Oryzias latipes: one gene and its partners. The protein of the gene in region 1 interacts with the protein of each later gene in a pairwise test. Links are inferred from orthologs where the notes say so. Each region holds a gene or a part of one and is shown in the gene's direction. Other genes may lie near its edges.

The links. The genes of interacting proteins can lie anywhere in the genome.
Region 2: the proteins of probable E3 ubiquitin-protein ligase DTX2 (region 1) and eif4enif1 interact in binary tests that used the Homo sapiens proteins (3 or more experiments, as listed by UniProt). The two-hybrid records come from large-scale screens. The link is inferred for Oryzias latipes from reciprocal best matches to the Homo sapiens genes DTX2 and EIF4ENIF1.
Region 3: the proteins of probable E3 ubiquitin-protein ligase DTX2 (region 1) and spg21 interact in binary tests that used the Homo sapiens proteins (3 or more experiments, as listed by UniProt). The two-hybrid records come from large-scale screens. The link is inferred for Oryzias latipes from reciprocal best matches to the Homo sapiens genes DTX2 and SPG21.
Region 4: the proteins of probable E3 ubiquitin-protein ligase DTX2 (region 1) and alkbh4 interact in binary tests that used the Homo sapiens proteins (3 or more experiments, as listed by UniProt). The two-hybrid records come from large-scale screens. The link is inferred for Oryzias latipes from reciprocal best matches to the Homo sapiens genes DTX2 and ALKBH4.
Region 5: the proteins of probable E3 ubiquitin-protein ligase DTX2 (region 1) and fam168a interact in binary tests that used the Homo sapiens proteins (3 or more experiments, as listed by UniProt). The two-hybrid records come from large-scale screens. The link is inferred for Oryzias latipes from reciprocal best matches to the Homo sapiens genes DTX2 and FAM168A.

What each region holds. Positions count from the first base shown.
Region 1 is NC_019872.2:28,224,167-28,228,220, forward strand, and holds the start of probable E3 ubiquitin-protein ligase DTX2, read left to right. Parts: upstream 1-1,254; 5' UTR 1,255-1,894; coding exon 1,895-2,204; intron 2,205-2,578; coding exon 2,579-3,167; intron 3,168-4,054. UniProt on the Homo sapiens protein: Regulator of Notch signaling, a signaling pathway involved in cell-cell communications that regulates a broad spectrum of cell-fate determinations.
Region 2 is NC_019863.2:612,818-616,915, reverse strand, and holds the start of eif4enif1 (eukaryotic translation initiation factor 4E transporter), read left to right. Parts: upstream 1-1,298; 5' UTR 1,299-1,543; intron 1,544-2,101; exon of another isoform or gene 2,102-2,229; intron 2,230-2,494; 5' UTR 2,495-2,530; coding exon 2,531-2,620; intron 2,621-2,695; coding exon 2,696-2,769; intron 2,770-3,109; coding exon 3,110-3,237; intron 3,238-3,368; coding exon 3,369-3,643; intron 3,644-3,829; coding exon 3,830-4,028; intron 4,029-4,098. UniProt on the Homo sapiens protein: EIF4E-binding protein that regulates translation and stability of mRNAs in processing bodies (P-bodies). Plays a key role in P-bodies to coordinate the storage of translationally inactive mRNAs in the cytoplasm and prevent their degradation.
Region 3 is NC_019861.2:37,280,528-37,284,570, reverse strand, and holds the start of spg21 (maspardin), read left to right. Parts: upstream 1-1,243; 5' UTR 1,244-1,377; intron 1,378-1,543; coding exon 1,544-1,606; intron 1,607-4,043. UniProt on the Homo sapiens protein: May play a role as a negative regulatory factor in CD4-dependent T-cell activation.
Region 4 is NC_019872.2:25,208,760-25,212,222, reverse strand, and holds alkbh4 (alpha-ketoglutarate-dependent dioxygenase alkB homolog 4), read left to right. Parts: upstream 1-1,178; 5' UTR 1,179-1,189; coding exon 1,190-1,300; intron 1,301-1,385; exon of another isoform or gene 1,386-1,431; intron 1,432-1,941; coding exon 1,942-2,130; intron 2,131-2,256; coding exon 2,257-2,778; 3' UTR 2,779-2,963; downstream 2,964-3,463. UniProt on the Homo sapiens protein: Dioxygenase that mediates demethylation of actin monomethylated at 'Lys-84' (K84me1), thereby acting as a regulator of actomyosin-processes.
Region 5 is NC_019871.2:20,750,915-20,754,886, reverse strand, and holds the start of fam168a (protein FAM168A), read left to right. Parts: upstream 1-1,172; 5' UTR 1,173-1,298; intron 1,299-1,883; exon of another isoform or gene 1,884-2,678; intron 2,679-3,972.

The sequences.
Region 1 (4,054 bases):
TTGGTTTTCTTTATGATTAAGGTAACTTTATGAAGCGTTTGGGTTTAATCTCCTAAAAGCGTACAGTCTTGCAAAAGGAGAAGTTTGCTGCTGCTGCAAAACTTCAAAACTTTCAGTTCATGAATTGTTAATTTCAGAAAGATCAGGAAGGTTTCCTCATCTTTCATGTGGCGGCTCTAAAGGTGGAAACACTAAACATGAATCCTTCTACCAGCAGTGCATTCAGGGCTTATTCACTTTTTCCAAATGTTTTATGTCTTGTTTCAAATAGAGTAAACCTCAGGGAGGCGTCAGTTTATTAAATGAAAAGGGCCTTTTTGACATTTAAACCTTCAAGGCACCAGAACCTGGGTTTTTTTGCATCGTTTTTCTTTATTTGGGCCTCAGAGGTCCACAGACATTCCCTTTCTGACATGTTCTGCTGAATGAAAGCTCTCATGCAGACAGGTAGGTGTCCTCTCAAACCCAACCGACTCCAGAACCGCGGGTGGACGTCAGTGAAGCCCACGCATCTCAGAGATGATCCGAGCAAACAGGAGACACCGGGGTTTCATTTAAGCCTTTGACGCACTATTGATGCAAACCGATGCTTCTGCTTCATACTCACCTTAAAGAAAAAACAAAGTGTTTTTTCATAAAATTTCCGGGGGTAAACAATTACTTAGTTTTCTTTTATTTTAAAATCTTTTCTTTTTCCCAGTGTCCAAAAAACAAAAGTGTTCTTTTTATGATTTTGTGCTATTTCAAACAACAATAAAAAAAAATTTCACCCAACATTTGCTTTAAGGGATTTCAAACATTTTTGTCTAAACATATATTCTTACGTTGAAATAATAATAAATAATATGATTGTATTATTCAATATTATAGAGTCTCTAATATAATTTCTATTGTCTATGTGGAACTAAGTTTTGAAGTTTAATAATAAAACTGTAATATTTTATGTTTGGAGTACCATTGTACAAATGTAAATACTAAGATCATGAGGACTTGGTTTTAACCAGTTCGGAAAATTGTGACATTCTGACAATTTTTTTTAATGTAATTCTTGTGGCAAATTGAACACATCTTTTATTTTTTTACAGTTCCCTTTGATCCAACAGTCGTAGTTTTCTTTTGCTCAACCTTTCCTCTTCTGAGTATTTTGTCGTACCGTTTTGTCTCCGTTAGGGGGCAGCAGAGTTTTTGAAGATTCCAAAAAGAGGAAGAGGTTGTTGTTTTAAAAGAAGAAGAGTGTGAAGTTCAGGGAGACTTTGTAAACGTAATTTTGAACGGTAATGTGTTCTTCTTGAAAGGTTATTTGTTCTTTGGTTAATAAAGCCGCGTACTCTGGTCTTTGAAGTGTTTGGCTTTAGAATTAAAAAACACACAGATCTACTCAAGAAATGTACATTCTCCCATCTGTCCCCGACTCACCACAGACTTTGAAAAAAAAAGAGGTAATGAAGGACGCTTTTTGTATAGTGGGGTTTAAATGTAAGCAATTTAAAGTCATTTAAACCAGCAACACTAGCAAGTAGATATTTATGTTTGTTTTGTGCTTGCATGTTTTTACAGATTAAAATTCTGTTTTACGAATCTGAGTTGAGCCAACCTGTCATCGGTTTGAATGCAAAAATTCAGAGGGCGCGTGAAGGCAGCTGGTGGAGCAGAGGAGGAACCTTAGCAACGCAGTTGTAAAGCTAGCGTTTCCCCTGATAGAAATGTCAACATGCACCTTGGTGTTCACGGAGAGCGCGTAGTGTTTTACCTGCAGGCCTCTTCATGCTCCCACGTTCATAATGAAGCTCTTTAGTGAGCCAAGCTAGCCCCGCGGACTTTGGCTTTGTCGTAGCCCCGATCGGCTAGCTAGAACGAGCCGCCGTTAGCTTAGCTAGTACCTCGGTCGGTGAATATGGCGATTGTGTCTGGATCGTGTTCCCGGGTGAGCAGCTCCAGAAACGGGCCGTCGGTGTCCGCCGCGCCGTCCCCGTCAGTCGGACAGTCTCAGCCAATGATAGCGGTGTGGGAATGGCAGGACGACCAGGGCTTCTGGCGGCCGTACAGCGGCCAGGTCTGCTCCCACATCGAGCGGTCCCTGTCCCCGCGGGGCCACCGGGGAGCCGGACCCAGCTCCACCAGCGTCTGCCTCGGACAATCAGATCCCAGTCTGTCCCCCTACCTCATCGACATACCGAGCCTGAAGCAGTTTCGACAGGATACAGGTAAACCGCTTCAGCACCACACCTGAAGTCCGGATTCAGATCAGAGATTCTGGTTTCCGTCGTTCATTTTGTCTTTTTAAACTGCATTTCTGAGAAGATGATGTTGGTTCAGTCAGCTGGTCTAGAAAGCAGCAGTACACTTTAAGTTTATTTTATTAAGTATACTTGAGTACACGTATAGCTAGAATACTAGAGACTATGTAGATTTAGTGAAGTAACTGAGTATTTCTTGGAACATTTTGAGTCCAGGAATAGACAGTATGGAAGTGAACTTCAAGTGCATCACTTTTAGTATAGACCAAGTACCTTTTGTAGTACTCTTACAAAGAGTACTGTCTTGCTGAAGGTAAACTCATTTGCGGGTTTTTGTGCAGGAACCACGCGCTCCGTGCGCCGGTCTCTGTTCCCCCAGTCTTCGGGCCTCGGCAGTGGCGTTTACTGGGAATGGGCCAACGATGAAGGGGGCTGGACTCCGTACGAGACCAGAACTTCCATCCTTCTGGAGCACAGTTACCAGGCCCGCCAGGGGACCGCCGACCTGGGCCCTCACGGATACAACTACATTGTGGACCTCACGTCTTTCGCCCAGGTCAACAAATCAACGGGTTTCAGACGGCAGGTTCGTAGACTGGGCAACTCCCCGTTCCCGCTGGCGTCCCCGGGGCCCCCGGCTGTCCCCTTGGGGCCGGCCTGCTCCTGCCAGCAGTGTTTGAGCCACAGCAGCACGGGGCCCATGCCCAGCCGCTCCCGACATTCCTTTTCTTCGGGGAGTCTGAACCGACCCGGCCTGCAGGGACCAGGAAGGGCAGCCGCGACCCACCCCACTTCCGTCTACTCGCCGTATCCCCGGAGGCCCCACTCTGTTGGGGGGATATCCTGGGGCAGCCCCTGGCTCCCCCCTCCCTCTGCCAGTCAGATCTCGGCGTCGCACCTGAGCGGCTCCGCCAGCGCCAACGGGCTCAGGTGGGTTCCGCCTCTCTGTCCGGGGTTTCTGGTATCTGCTAAAACGCTGCCGGTCCCGTTCCAGTCGCCAACACGGATCTGAAGTCACTTTGTGGGGTCAAATGGTTTTACCTGAACAAATGTGGGACAGACATGGATAAAATAGGAACTCTTACATTTTGATTTGATTTGATTTTTGATTTGAAATGGTTTATTTCAAGCAATCAAGGAAGAAAAATACACAAAAACAATACAATCAGCATATTTTATTACATGTTTTATCTTTATCCGGTTCAGAACTTTTATCAGACAGAATTAAGAATCTTTTGGTGTCAATAAATCTCATGATAAAGATGAATTTCTTAATTATTATGTAAAAATAGACATAACTCTATTTTAGAAATAGCAAATGCAGATCAATTATCTAAAATATAAGCTGATTATATTCATTAGAACAATGATGTATATGATTAAAAAATAATACTATATCAGTAAAATAGACATAACACTGTTTCAAAAATCTTCAATATCAAAAATTGATCAAAGTTCAAAAGTTAAAAATATGTGCAAAATTAAGTTTCATTAAGAAAAACCATGAATCCATTTTTGGAGCAAGTGAAGTAATGTAATTAGAAATCACTCATTTTAACCATCTTCGATAATTGATTATGCATTATTTTTATCTTTATTTTATCTTTTTTTTATTTTAAGGTAGTTCTGTGAAATCAAATAAAATGAGAATAAAATCCTTGGTTGTGTCTGAATTCCCACCCTAACCCCAAACTACATAGTGCAGCACTGTGTAGCGCCCTGAATGTTAAAGCGATTCGGACGCCACGCTCACTACTTGTATTTTTTAGACGGCGGATATGACGTCATCGATTTCACAAAGTTAAAATCGAACTGAT
Region 2 (4,098 bases), on another chromosome or scaffold:
CAATAACTGTCTTTTTTGTGTATTTTCCTTTCTCCTGCCTCAGTGATGCTGAATTTCTCTGGTTACGGAACGTCCAAATAATATACCTTCAAAGCAATGGCTGGCAAACGCAAACAGCACTCAGGTAGAGTTTGTACCTTTCAAGCATAGGATGTCCTCAGATGACCTAATGACAGTCTGCTCGCAGTTCCCCGCTAGAGGTCCAGCACTCACCTTTGCATGAATTCAAGGCTCGTGCCAGTTAGTATACAGGCTCTAATAAAGTCAAAGAAATAAATAGACTGGTAAGCAATGGCAAGACCATCAAGGATTTCCCCAACTCTGATCTTGAAAACTCAAAACAAAGTTTGCTAACTGTCAAATGTTACCTGGAGGAGAATCTGTGTTTCCAAATGATTAGAAACTTTGTGAAATGCATGAAGTGGTAAAGCAATAAAACTCAATAATCACAGCAGTAAAATCCTAAGAAGTAAGCTAACAGTCCTAGAACCCGATCTAGTTTGTTCATCGAGTCTTCCAGCAGGGATGTCCAGCTCTGTGAAGCACTTCCTGTTTGTTTCTGCACCGACTTGCAGCCCCGACTTTGCGTCTCTGACTGAACTATGTTGCATATTTGCATCGTAGTTCAACTAACAAGGAACGGAAACCATATCGCATAGTCGCAAACTTAAAATTTGAACAACTTTCCTTGTCACGTGACCCCTAGAAACGGTAACATCAGGCGGCAATGCTCAAATATAAGACATTAGAAATTGTAACTATGGATTACACTTTTCTATTTTAAACTCAGTCCTGCTGTACTCGTTCTACTTTTCGAACTGAAATATATGTGTGTATATTATTATAAAATATATATTTTAGATGATAGTCACATTGGGTCCTCAGCTTTTGGAGGAATACTAAACAAAATACAAAACCGCCCACAGGGGTGGAGACGGCAGTTTCTGACAATATCACTCCGAGATCAAGATTGAGGGGGAAAAATCAAGCATACCCTGAAAAAATTAGGTATTCTATATAATGCCAGATTAAATGAATGAAGTGTTTGGTGTTTTTTCATCAACAAAAAACTTCACAATAAATATACACGATTTTATTAATTAACAAACATTTATTACGTCTATATAATATTTAAGCAATAAGAACAAGATTGCTCCTACACCTTCAGTAACAAAAATTTAAATTCTACAAAGGCGCGACGGGCACCTTTTAATCTCTCTGAGGACCTTCTTAAAGCGGTGATTGTAGGAAATTCGCTGCTACGACTAAGAAACAAGAGAAAGAGCAAACAATAATTTGTGATTACAGAGTTTCTGTGCGACCCGATTAATTATTTGGACTAGAAATACTATTTTGAGTTACCCTGCCATAGCCTGTAACAATATAGCTCTTTGGAAAAGTCGACCGCCTTATGAGTTGTTGTTTGCGGGGTGGGAATTATCCCCATTACCCAGCTAGTTAGCTAGCGAAAGGCGCTAGGCTAACTTGCTAACTAACGTGAAGTGCAGCTGTTCGGCAGTATTTCACGCATCATTTCAACTGAGTAAGTTGTTTGTTTGTGTTTTTCAAGATGCTTTTGACAAGTTTCTGTTGAATCACATTTTTGCCATCCCCTCAACTCTCAGGGGTTTGCATCGGACTGTCTCAACTCGGGTAACCATAATTAACCAACCTGTGTTTATTGTTGTTCTCTAATGTTGAGGTAAATGGGTGGAGGAAAAATACTACTTGTAGTTAATAATTTGTTACCAGGTGGCATCAACATTTGTCGCAAACATTTTGCGATTCATTGTAATTGACTGCCACTTGTGTTGTCAGGATGCTTTCAATTAAGCCACTAATTGGTCTCCACTGACGGATGGTTTGGGTCTTCACTGTTAAGTGAGTTAACTCCCCCCCCAGTATATATCTATTTTAATTACAGATTTGAAAACAAAGTGCTTAAAAAACTAAACTACAATTACCAACCAAGTTTAAATAATCCTATAGTAGACATGATGCATGTAAAGCTAATGGAAATAAACTATAAACAACATACTAACCTCCGGAACAAATGGGTTTTGATGACTTTGAAAAGTTTAGACCAAAACCACCAATGGACGGATGAAGAGGTTGTTCCACAAATGGAGGACAACTTGAAAAGTTTGATCCCCGTTGATTTGAAGCGTTTTGAGCCCCATCAAATGATTCTGCTTAAAAGATCAACATCTCCAAGCCAAGGATTACAAGGTTAAAAAAATATATATTTTATAAGCTTTATGCCAGCAAAGCTCCAAAATAAGTACCAGTACAGTATTTTGGGTTTGACAAATTATCTGTGTGTACTGTTTGATGTATTTACAAGAAACTTTCTTTAAAGGTTTGGTTTTTTTTTTTTTTCCTGCTAAGACATTGTCTGATTCTGAAACTTATTTAATATCAAGAAGTTGACCAATTATTTATTTATTGCCTCTAATGACACCAAACGAATGTGAAATTCTGCCGTTTTCAACAGGATCAGTAGTTTACCTGGAACCGCTTTGCCTGCATCATGGACAAAGATGCCTCAGAACAGAATGAAAGTGCGTCCACTGAGTCCAAGCAACAGGCACTGGCTACGTCTGCCTACAGATACACCAAGGTGATGAGACGCGTCAGCTAAACGTTGCTGCTTATTCCACACCGTTTTCCTTTTAACACAAGCATTTGTGCACAGGAAGAGCTTCTCAGGATAAAAGAGCTTCCCATTTCCAATCAAAGGCCTGAGTGTCTCTCAGAGAAATATGACAGGTAAAACCGTCTCCTTGTGAAATGCTTTTCTTTTTTATTTCAAGGGTTAGTCATAGATATTTTTTTTGCCTCTTGATTATATATCATATTTTATCAGCTTACATTTGATTGTGGCAGATTTAGTTCACTTAGTGACTAAAATCGCAACAGTTTGACCTTTTGTTCCGAACAGGATATGTCAGTTACAATTACTCTGAGGTTGGTTGGTTGGTTAATTTTAGGGTTAGTATATACTTCCAAAAATACTGAAACGTATTCTATGTGTGTTTTAACCAGCCAGCCCTACTTGATCTTTATGTTACATTTCTTTGCTCACCTTCCCCTAAAAACTGTTCTTTAGTGATGGAGTTTGGGACCCAGAAAAGTGGCATGCCTCACTCTATCCAACTTCAGAGCGGAGCTCTCCGGTGGAAGGTTTTAAGAAGGACTACATGGATGAAAGGGTTCCTTTAAAGCGAAGAATCCCAGGTATGTGCACTTCAAGAGTGAGACAGTGGTGGGAATACCACAAGACTTTTCTGTAGTTGTGACTTCAAGCTTTCAGGAATATTTACTGAAATTTCTGAATGAAACTTCTTTTCTCACCTATTTCCATGAAGATCCCCGTGAGCGGTTGAAGGAGGACGACTTGGACGTCATACTTAGTCCACAGCGCCGTAGTTTTGGCAGTGGATGTCAAGGCAACGCCCTACCCGCTGCTCACGTCCGTCGCCCAACCAGTCCTCTGGAAAACAAGGAGAATGAGAGCCTGCGTCTTGGAGGCCCCCGCAGGATTGGCAGCGGCCGCATCATCCCAGCGCGGGTTTTTGAGAGAGAAGCCCGAGTAGAGAAGGACAGAGAACGAGAGAGAGACTTCAAAGATAAAAGATTCAGGGTTGGTTTCTTCCATTTTTACAAACATTTAGGTCTCTTTAAAGAATTTTCTTTAAATTATCCTGTTATGATGACTAGTCTTGTATTTTAGTATAACCCTGTTGAAAGAAGTTCTCAATACTTTGCATTCAGTAGTCCATCGTTATTCCCTTTTCCATGTCCACCGACCCCTTTTCTGAACTGGCAGAGAGATTTTGGTGACAAACGTGTGTTTAGTGAGAGGAGAAGAAACGACTCGTATGTTGAGGAGGAGCCAGAGTGGTTCTCAGGAGGCCCCACCAGCCAGTCGGAAACCATCGAACTCACCGGATTTGACGACAAGATCCTGGAGGAGGATAAACGCAAGTCCAAGAGGTCCAGGAAGCGGACGGAGCCCATCAAAGAAGGTCGCTCACATGTACATTGAAGACTGTTTTAAAGTTGGCCAGAAAATCATTACTGCTGGGGGGTCTGTTC
Region 3 (4,043 bases), on another chromosome or scaffold:
CTTTCCAGGAGACTCAAACGTGTTCTAGACTAACCACAGTGGGTCTGGGCTCTGGCCCCGCCCCCTCACTAAGGTTTTGACCTTTGGACATTGGTGAATGAGTTCAAATGCGTCCATCCTTCAGACCTTCAGCAGTGCAGAACGCTGCTGCACAGGACCGTTCTGCATGTGTCGGATGGGAGATTCCAACGTCTTAAAGCACTTCTTCTGTCTTCTGGAGCTTTCACTGCCAAAACGTTTGTCATTGAGACGCTGATGTGCCTGGAAGAGAATCTGATGCAGCTTCTTCCCTTAATGTGTCCTTAAGTCTGTTTGGGGCTCCAGGACTTCCCTCAACTTTATAAAGTTTGGTAAAAAAATCATTTCTACTGTTGTCTTTTTGTGGTTTTCCTCCTTTTTATCTTCATTATCAAACGTTTGTTAAACAGCTAAACAGTTTAGGGTAAATAAATTCACTTTGGGGTTACGCTCATGTTTCACAAGCTTTAAAGCTGCCTTTAAGTTCCAAATGGGAAGAAAACATTTCCAATAAACTGACCTTCACAGTGGGGACGACCTGAGGAAGCAGTTTAAACCTTCCATAACTGATCTTCTCTGCGTCACGTCAGACACACTTGGAGGTGGTTAAACGATTTCAGATGAAGCTTTTAAAGAAACAGCTGGAGAACCGATGGGGGCCAAAGTCTGAACGACACACCAACACCGCTCTGGGAAACGGAACCAATCTACACATCTTGTCATTTCAGTTTCCTGTCCAGGTTAAACCACAAAAAAATGAGAACAGACAGGATTTCAATGAAAGACTGATCCACACTGAAGATGTAAATTATTCCATTTTACTTGTATGAATTGTAATTTCAGAACAATTTACGAACAAAAACGCATTTCATTCAAGAATTAAGTTTGTTTTAGAAAGTTTTTCATCCAAATATTTTGATGACTGAAGTTAAAATTATGAGAAGAATTACCTTGAGGTTTGACCGATGCGTTTGAGAAAAACGGGGATTCGGAGATTCGTTGGGTTTTGTGTGGAAAGAATCTCGAGTCTGTAATGTCTTCTTACATTTCTATTGATTCCATATTCAGACAAACATTGAATACATTTGAGTGCTACATTGTATAGGATGAAAACTGTAACGACAACAGAAATTAAGCAAGACTTAAGAAACCAAAGCGGCTTTCTTACTGCCGGAGAACAGGATTTTCAGAGCGACCGCGAACGCAGCACCGGAGAGGCTACTTGCGGAAGTGTGTGAAAGGAAAATCACATGACCGAGCTGCAGCCGCTCCAAGCGCTACCCGACATGGACAAACGTCTCCGGACACGGTGACCCTTCACCGAGCAGCGGCGTGGGCTCTGACACGGTGACGTCCACGGTGAGTGGGGCTGGCGGGGCGGTCGGTTTCTACGCCGTTAACGGGGTTACCGCGGGGTTCGTTTAGCAGCTAGCCGCTATTATGGCTAACAGCTGCCCCCGCGCGGAAGCAGCTGAGCCCGGACACCCCCGCACACACACTTGAGTCACCGTCTCTGTGTCCGCAGATGGAGGAGATCAAGGTGTCTCCAGACTACAACTGGTTCCGAAGCACCGTGCCACTTAAGAGGGTAAGTTCCCGCCTCGTCACGCGCCTCACTCCGGAGCAGCTGGACCGTCGCCGATGCGATGAGGGCTAACGCTCGCGCGCGTTGAAATTCTTATGAAACACCTGCTCTCGTGGTCACGTGATACAAAAGCACCCCAGGTGTGAAGGGGTCCATTCCGTGACGGGTCATCGGGATTCTGTCCTGCTGGATCAACCTTCAGGTTCTGATGAGCCGAACCTGTTCAGAACCGAGCTTCAGGACAAACACAGCTGAACTCCTTAAACCCAGAGAGGTTATTTTTCTGAAACTACATGCACACCGTTCAGACCAGGTGTTCACACTGCGCCTGCAGGGAGGGGCTTCTTCTTCTTCTTCTTCTGTTTACTAGCCTCAACCTACAGTCGGAGGAGGCTTGCTGTGAAATGTCCTCCAGACTTTTGTGACTGACTCTGTCGTAGAATTCGGTTGGTTCTGTAAATGAACCCTTTAATCGCCGTGGCTTTAGCGCCCGTGTTCTTTACCGTACCTGGTTTTAAAGCCCTCCTATTCAAAGGTTGAGGATTACTTTATATGGAAATGAGGGCGTGGTCTTTAAGCTGACAGGTGGTGGTAGTATCATGGTCTCTAAAGCACACGTTAGCTTGTCACGCTGTCTAAGAAACGTTTTACAAATGTTATGCACTAATACTTGATCTTGTGACCTGCTTCCCTTCTGTTCAATAAAATCACCATGAAAACAGTTGACAAACAACAAAATAAGACCAAGAACGCACTGCTTAGACCACGCCCCTTCGCCATTACGTGTTTTCATTTTGTCCCTTCTGTCTCACCTGTTTCCTGTATTCACTTTTTAAACTGGTTTATGGTTTTTCTGGAGAACCACAGTTTGGAAAAATGAAGCTCCGCTCAAACAGATGTTTGATAAAATCATAAAGTTTTTATGATTTTGCTCAAATGTTGTCTTTTTTCAAATTTTATTTACATTCAGATTGTTGTAAACATTGTTTTTGTGGTTAGTGAATATAGTAGGAAGACTCTGCATCTCATTCCACAGCAGAAAAAAAAGGTTTTACCTTGGAAAAAGGAAGCTTGGAGCCTGACAGCTGTGTTTCTATTTTAGTCTAAGAAAATATCACAACGTTTTCTGCTAAAGATGTTTAATTTAAACCTCACAAATCCCCTCATGAGTGTCAGGCGTCTCTGCATTTAGTTTGTTAGGTTTTTTTCAAGATTTGTGGTCAATTATTGCTTAAACAATCGTTCTGATTGCTTTAGTTCATGACTTTTGTGTTGAGTTCTGCGTGAAAATGAGAAATCTGAGGCTGGATTTCAGCGGCACGGATCGCCCTCTTGGATTAAGATGAGATTAGCTTTCAGAAAACGGGTTTGGTCCTCGGATCTGCTGTTTGGTGGAACAACGGCTCGCGTTGTCTTTTGGAATAAGACGATTATTCCCGTCGGGTTTTTAGCTCACAGATCTCTTAAAAATGGGGATTTGTTTGGCGTTGGAGCCGACACCCGGCTGGTTCCCGCAGCTGGAGGTTGAGCCGCTGCTGCTGAGGCTCTGAGAGGTGGAGAGTCATGTGACGGCGTTCATCACCCAGCCGTCACATGCTTCCCTCAGCTTCACACGGGCATCACATGTGCTGCTTTTACTGGCACGAATCCACTCGTTTTCCCTCTGCTCACTCATGCACTTCAGGAGAGATGCATTCTGGGACAGAGAGGTTGAGTGACTGATGCAGGTCAGCTTCTGGCAGCACGGCTTAAAACCCCCCAGACAAGTTTGATCTGAAGGATTTAAGATTTTCAGAAAAACCTCTCTGCAGATTCTTTTGTTACCACTGACTGTATACCGGAACTGGACGGAGGGGCCCCTCCCCTTTGCTACAAACAGGAAGTATCTGCAAATCAACAGCTGTCATTCTGTTGGTCAGAAGAACCGTTCTGGATCGGATACCTTTTTGTTTTTAAACATCTACTTGATAAAACTCTTTTTTTTTCCTGTATCTCAAGTTAGTCAAGTCATTAACTGGCCAATCAGACGCCTCAATAAAAGTAGGCGGAGCCTGTTGACCCCCTTGTCCAGTGTTCAAAACGTTTACAGCTTTCCAGTGGTAGGGGCGTGGCCTTCCAACAAGCTCACTCCTGATTGGTGGGAGGGGCTGCCATAGAACAAAGCGTCAATGCTAACATTTTAGCTGTTAGCACATGAATTCTTCAACTGGATGCTATTTGTTCTGGTTTTGCTTTTTAAGATGCAGAATTTTCTTTTTCTTTTTTTAGTTGGTGTTTTTCAGCCTTTGGCTCCGGTTGATCATTTTGGTTGAACTCGGCCTTTTGAGTTCTTCTTGTGGTCGCGGTTCACTTCTGACGTTTGTGCTGCTGATCGTTTAGTGTTCTGCTTCCTGATTGGCTGTCGTCAGTCCGTCTCCTGAACAGAACCCATCAGATGGTT
Region 4 (3,463 bases), about 3.0 Mb from region 1:
TTGTAAATCTAGGTGAATGTTGTCTTACTACTTTATTTACATTTTCTGCCAAATGATGGGTCCCTCAGAGGTTTGGTTGGGTGATAATCTATAAAATTAACTAAATTAAAGTGAACACAAAGCTTATTTGAACACCACAGCCAAAAAGAGATGATGTGTTGCCACTCAAACATGTTTTAAACTAACAAAACAAAAGGTTAAAGACGTTTTATAAGTAAATTGAGCAAAACTATTTTAGCAAATCATTTTTTCCCACCTTTATTCATAAATTGACAAACATACATTAAAGCGGTAAGCACAAAACAAGAACAAAACGAGCAAAAGGGAATTAGGCACATTTTTTTTATAATAATAATAAATTTTATTTAGAATGCGCTTTATATTTTGGGTAAAATCTCAAAGCGCTACAATGAAGGCAGGATTTACAATGGTTTAAGATAAGAACAAAGTAAGACAAAAAAACAACAACAATAAAAGTACTAAAAAGCATTATTTTATTAAGATATACTTCACAATCATCATGAATAGCTTTGAGTTTAGAACTTTTGGAAATTTCGATGCATTATTTAATTATAACAAGGAAAAGTGACTGTGCAAAACGTTACATTAAGGATTGTATTTTTAGCTAAACTTATGTGATACTAAATAATGTACGTAATCTTAGTTACAAAAGATATTTTAGCCACGTTGACGGTCAAGTTGACGTTGTTGTTTGGACGCATTTTCTGGGTTTTAAAATATTTGAAGTAAATCTAACGAAAGATCGATTAAAACATTGTTGAATCTACGAATATACTCAGTTCATTAATTTGCAATTACAAGCTCGTAAAATTTGGACATAAAAAAAACTCACCAACCAAGGATACACGAACACAAACGCGACACTAAAAATTTCGCGGGGAAAATGTCTACTTCCGGGGGAAAATGTTTATATCCGGTGTGTGCTGTTTTATATACCCTGAGCTTTGACTCATAGGCAAAATAGCTTCAAAGTGAATTTGATTGTGGATAATGATAATAAAGTTAGTGAAATATGAATGTACTTATTTTGTGTGCTGCTAAAAAATTAAATGTTTACAGATAAGGTTTCTAAATCTAACTATTTTATAATTATATCCTGCGCCTCTACCTTTCAACCATACAAGCATATACCTTTAACCCACAAGACGTTAGTTCCGGTTGGCTCAGAATGATGGCTCCGGACGGCAGCGACGGTGTTTCTCAATGCGGATGTAAAGGGATCCGGCTGTGTCTTTTGTGCGAAAATCGCAAAGAAAAAGAGGGGACAAAAGATCCAAAGGTATCTGTATTTAACTAAAACTAACAATTAATTGTATTTGAACCCCCTGCATTTACCTGTTTGCGCTTCTTTCAAATGTACGGAGGTCCTCGCTGGACAAAATACATGATCTCAAAGCATCAATATGCTAGGTGAATACTTTATTTACCATGAAATTTTTAAGTTACAATTTGTTTGCTTTTGTCAGTCGTTCCGATTCATACCAATATTTTTCCCACTTGTGTGACTAAACAACAAAAAGCTAAAACAGTTATTCACGATTTCTTACGAACTTATACGAAGAAGAGTGTAGAATAACCTGACTAGTTTCTCACATTAACTTAAGTTGTTGTTTTTTTTTTAAGACTTTATTTTTTGTTGTTGAGTGTTTCTTGTTAATAATCCACAAACCTAAAACAGAATAACTTTAAACATAACAGCACATAGAACAATACACTTCACTTTGGGCGATCTAAAAAAAACACCACATTTTTAATATTTTTGTTTAAAAGCAAAATGTAATTTTCTAACATATTTGCTAAAAGAAAGAGCACATTATCTGAAGTATGTGAATGAAACTGCCTCAGTTTCCTACAAAGAGGCTAAAAGTGAAGTAATAATTTATATAAATAGACATTTGTTTACTGTTGTCTTTTTTTTAGGCGGCGCATCATTTCATCTACAATCCTGAGACAAAGCTTGCTGTCTGCAAAGATGCAGGGAGTGCATCCTTCTCGTTTCCTGGTATCTTCCTATGGGACGACTTTATATCTGAAGAGGAAGAGAAGCAGCTGATTAACTCAATGGACCAGGATGCCTGGAACCCATCCCAGTCTGGTCGAAGGAAACAGGTAATGCTCTCCCAGTCAGATTAAAAAGGTTTACATTTTTTCTTCTGAAAAGACATGATGAGAGATTTACATTGAAATTAAGTACATTGATTTATAATTTAACCATTTTTCTCATTTTGGTTGCAGGATTTTGGTCCAAAGGTGAACTTTAAAAAAAGAAAAGTGCGTGTGGGTGGCTTCAGTGGACTCCCTAGTTTGAGCAAAGAACTCGTACTACGGATGCAGCAAGAGCCATGCCTGTCTGGCTTTCAGCCAGTGGAGCAGTGCAACCTGGACTACAACCCTCAGAGGGGCTCAGCCATAGACCCGCACTTTGATGACTCCTGGCTTTGGGGGGAGCGACTCGTCACCATCAACATGCTATCAGACACCACACTCACCATGTCGCTTGAGCAGGGTCTGCCAGAGCTGGGACTGTCAGAGGAAATTCATGTGGCCGTTCGCCTTCCACGCAGATGTTTAGTCGTGGTTTACGGCGAAGCGAGGCATCGATGGAAGCACGCCATTCGCAGGCAAGATATTCACAAGCGCCGGGTGTGCAGCACCTACAGGGAGTTGTCTGCAGAGTTTCTGCCGGGCGGGCAGCAGGCAGAGCTTGGAGCTCAGCTGCTCAAAATTGCATTGGACTTTAAAGGAATTCCAATATAACTTTTTGGATAAGTGCAGAGATAGCTGGAATGACAAAATTTAAGATACATTCTTCACTTTTGTTGAGTTTTAAATAAGGAAAGCCTTGAAAACTTTTTTCAGTCGTCTGTACTTTAGCAATTGTGCAGTTAAACTTTGACTGTAATTTGATGTTCAAAATAAATCATTTTTATTTAACAAGAGAAGCTGACATTTGGCAGTTATTTTTATAGTGGTGTGAGAAAAATAAAGGAGAACATTCTTTTCTTATGAATTGGGAAGAGGTAAAGAATGACTGACTATTACTTTGCAGTTTTCTGTTGTGTTTATCATATATGCCCAACAGAGGGAGCCAAATACAAAATATTATTTTACAGTACCAATAGTTCTTTTTTTTTGCTATAGAAACATAAAATGCATTTTATATTCAGATTTTGCTGTTATGTAGTTTTATTCATGTTCTTTTAAGTTTTATTCATGTTGTTCTTCAAAATGGGAATGTTTCACAGTAAAAGCATGGATAAGTATTTTCAAAGTACTACAAACATAAATAATTGTAGAACATCTTACTAAATTTGTTAAATTTGATGATTTTTGACAGATTTTTTGTATTAAGTGAACTAAAAATAAAACCTTAAAGGTTAAAAAAACCCAAATTTATTTTAATGAATGTTAAACTTGTTTGTTTGATAAGTCCTTTCATATT
Region 5 (3,972 bases), on another chromosome or scaffold:
AGAAGAGCATCTTTGTATGCACAACATGTCCAACCGTGAGGCAGATGGGCTACAGCAGCAGAGAACCTCACCGGGTGCCGCTCCTGTCAGCTAAGAACAGGAAACTGAGGCTGCAATTAACACAGACTCACCAAAACTGGACAATAGAAGATTGGAAAAACCTTGTCTGGTCTGATGAATCTCCATCTCTGCTTCAACATTTGGATGGTAGGGTCAGAATTTGGCATCAAAAACATGAAATCATGGAGCCATCCAGTCTTATATCAAGAGTTTAGGCTGGTGCTGGTGGTGCACTGGTGTGGGGGCACACTTTGGGTCCCTTAGTACCAATTGAGGATCTTTTCAACTTCACAGTGTACCTGTGTATTGTCGCTGACCATGTCCGTCCCTTTATGACCACAGTTTCTACTTTTGGTACTTCCAGTAGGATAATGCACCATGTCATAAAGCTGGAATCATCTCAGACTGGTTTCTTGAACATGACTATGAGTTCACTGGACTCAAATGACCTCCACAGTCACCAGATCTCAACCCAATAGATCACCTTTGGGAGGTGGTGGCACGGGAGATTGGCATCATGGATGTGCAGCCAACAAACCCGAGGCAACTGCGTGATGTTATCATGTTAATACGGACAAAACTCTCTGAGGAATGTTTCCAGCACCTTGTTGAATACATACCACCAAGGATTAAGCCAGTTCTGAAGAAAATGTGATTGTTTGAAATCAACAAATTACAATTCGTGAGCAACCTGGTTTATGACCACATGGCGGCGCTGTCTTGCTGTGTAGAAAACGTACATGAAGACAGAAAGATAGACTACGTCCAGATTTTCTTTGTACAGAAAAAAAAACAATGCAAACAATATTATAATATAATTTGCCAAAAGCAGTTGCATGTATGTTGCCGCTTCATATAGTATGTATTACTAATTATTTACAATAATAAAGTATTAACCTAAGATTTTTTCCCCCCATAATGTTGTCTTTATTATTAAAACAAAACAAAAAATGTGACTTCGCAAATTCCCATTCTCCTCGTGGTTTGGAGCGCATTGATCCGCTGATCGGACCCCCTCCGCCGTTCATAATCGGTGCCTCGTCCCCCCCGCCGTTCTGCTTGCATCCCAGCATCCCTCCCTCCTTCCCTCTCGGCGGTGCATCCCCATCCCCCACACGTCGGCCGTCTCTCCGGTTGAAAGCTGTTTCCAAGCGTCACTGGCCGAGCAGAAAGAACCAGTCCTCACCGACCGAGCGCACCGCAGCACGCCGAGAAGTCTTTGTTTTCGAGTGGTTTCGGTGAGTCCCGTTTTGCTGGCTGTCGTGGAGGGCAGAAATGTCCATAGGTCGACTTTTTATATCTGCGTTCTTTGACTTCTTCCCCCTCCCTTTCCCTTCAATTGTCCTCCGTGGTGACTAGTGGGAATCTAGCGGGCTAAGCTAAAAATGCTAACGATAATAGCGGACACTAAATGGACACACTAAATGCACCGGATGTGCGTTAATGCTTATAGGTTTCGAATCTAAATATTTAAACATGTTTACATTATTTAAGCCATGTTATTGTTGTTAGTTTTTTTCCTGCAATTGTCCGGTAATTTATCGGCTAGCCTGCTATTAGCGACGTGAGCAGCGTGCACCGATGGATGCGGGGATGCAGCGGCCGGTTAGCGGCTGTCTTTTTCGGGCTAGCTTGAAAGCTAACGTTTCGATAAGAGTTCAACCGTTTCCAGCGCTTTTGTTTCCCAATGATTCGACCTCACGCGTGTTGATTGATCGTCTCGTGTTAACTGGCAGCTTCTGGAGGTTGTTGCACAAAAAATCTGGGGATTTTCAAAATGGTGTCTTTGGCTTGTATTGACTGTGTGACCATTTTTGTCCAACCTTTGCTGTTTTGGCGTTGCTCGCTATCTGTGGTGAGCAGCGCAGCCCCGACCGATGCGTGCCGCGGGCTGATAGAAGAAATACATCCGAACCACCAAGGTTCTGAGAAATGTACAGGAGGCTGCAGGATAATAATATATCAAGATAAAAAGAATGTTTTGTTGTCAAACAATTTTAAAATCATTATTTATTTTCCTAAAACCTGTTATGCTTTAAAATATACATTTCCATCCTACAGAAAACAATAGAGTAAATGCATAATCAACATGGGTTTACCTTTATAAATTTGTTACAACTTTTATTTAGTAGGAAAGTCCCAGTTAGATTTGTGTTGGGCACCAGTTTGTTTGATTCATTTGATTTTGAGTATCTCCCTAAAATGAGTCCCAATCTGATATGTTTGTAACGCATCAAATAAATGAACATTTTAATAAACTAATCGAGGTTCTCCTCTATTTTTATTTTATTAACTTTCTTTTACATTTTGACACCGATCATTTGTTTATTGGTTCAAAAACGTTCTTAGAAGTCCCTTAATTACAATCATGCCATTTTTAGCCAAAGTAAAAAAAACTTTAGGCTGTGTCCGAATTCCCTCCCTAATCCCTAACTACTAAAAACTATATAGTAAACTATGTAGTGCCCTTTTAAAAGTAATTCAGACACCACGCTCAATACTTTTTTTGCTAACAGCGAATATGACAACCGATTTCACAAAGTGAAAATCTAATTGATAGGAGTGTTCTACAACAACTGTTTATGAATCCACTGTGTTCTGATGATGAAAATGTTGAATTTTTATTTGAAAACAGATTTAAATACATTTTATCTTGCAAAAATTGTTCAGACGCAATGCATAATGGTCTATATTTGCCAATCTAGTAAGCATTGATGCACACTGCATCAATGACTTCTGGGAAATTTCTAGGCCACTCGATTTTGGATTTGTAGATTTGGACAGCCTCACAAAATGGTGAACGCACTATAAAGTGCACTATATATTTATAATTAGTCCTTGTAAGAATGTTTGGTTACTGTATCTTTAGTGTCTTTAGAACTATTGATCGTTTTTTTTAAACATATATGATTTGATTTGTTCCATTAAAAATTTCCAAAAATTAAAAACAATGACTTTCCTCCAAAATTGTTGTTTCAGCATGAATATGATGAGTATTCATGACTAGTTCATATCAATGTAACCATTTATTTGTTTTGATTCTTTTTAATCACTTTTCCTGGAGCTTTCACTTTGTAGACGGTCCCTTGGCAGCGGTTTCTTTGCTAGAGTAGATATTAAAGAGGGAAAAAAATTGATTGAAATGCCTTTGTAGGTCATTGCTTGGCTTAAGACAAACTGATAGAGACACCTTTTGTTAGTTTAAAGCGCTTAAGAGAGTTATTCAGCCCGTAAGCCTGAATCTGTGAATATATTGCTAACTTTACCAAAATGTTTTTGTTCTTCACTCCTATTCAAACTAGAGTCGTGATCCGTTCATGATATACAGACTTCTACTAGGGCATTTTTTGAAATAATAAGCTTGGGATGTATAGTGTGTTAATTGGGCCCAATTTTTTGATCATGTGACCTGATCAGGACATCCCTAGTTTTTATCACTTCGGTTCGTGTTTTGACACATCCGTCTTAAACTTGAAATAGTATTTTGTAACTCCTCCTATAAAATAAGCATATTTCCTAATTGAAACATGTGCTATCCCGGCTCAAAATCATGTATATTTGTTTTAAACATGTAAAGCAAAGGTATAGATTTAGAATTTAGCCTGTTGTGGTCTTCATCTGTCCTGTCATCTAAGCTGGTGTGTGGCATTGTTGAGTTTTAGCTGGCTGTATAATGGAGCTATTAAACTGTCAAACCTTTAAAAGCTAGAATCACTTAGTGTTACATCAGGAGCTCACAAATAGACCTTTGTGTTGTCAACACTTTTTTTTCCTGTGATTGGAGCTGCTTAAGGATTTGCTGCTTAGGGACCTAAAGACATTCAAAAAAATCTTCATTCAAGTAGCCTTCAGCAGCCCACTATACTATCTGTTAATTCGAGATTTCATTTTTAATGGTGACTACGAGATGAC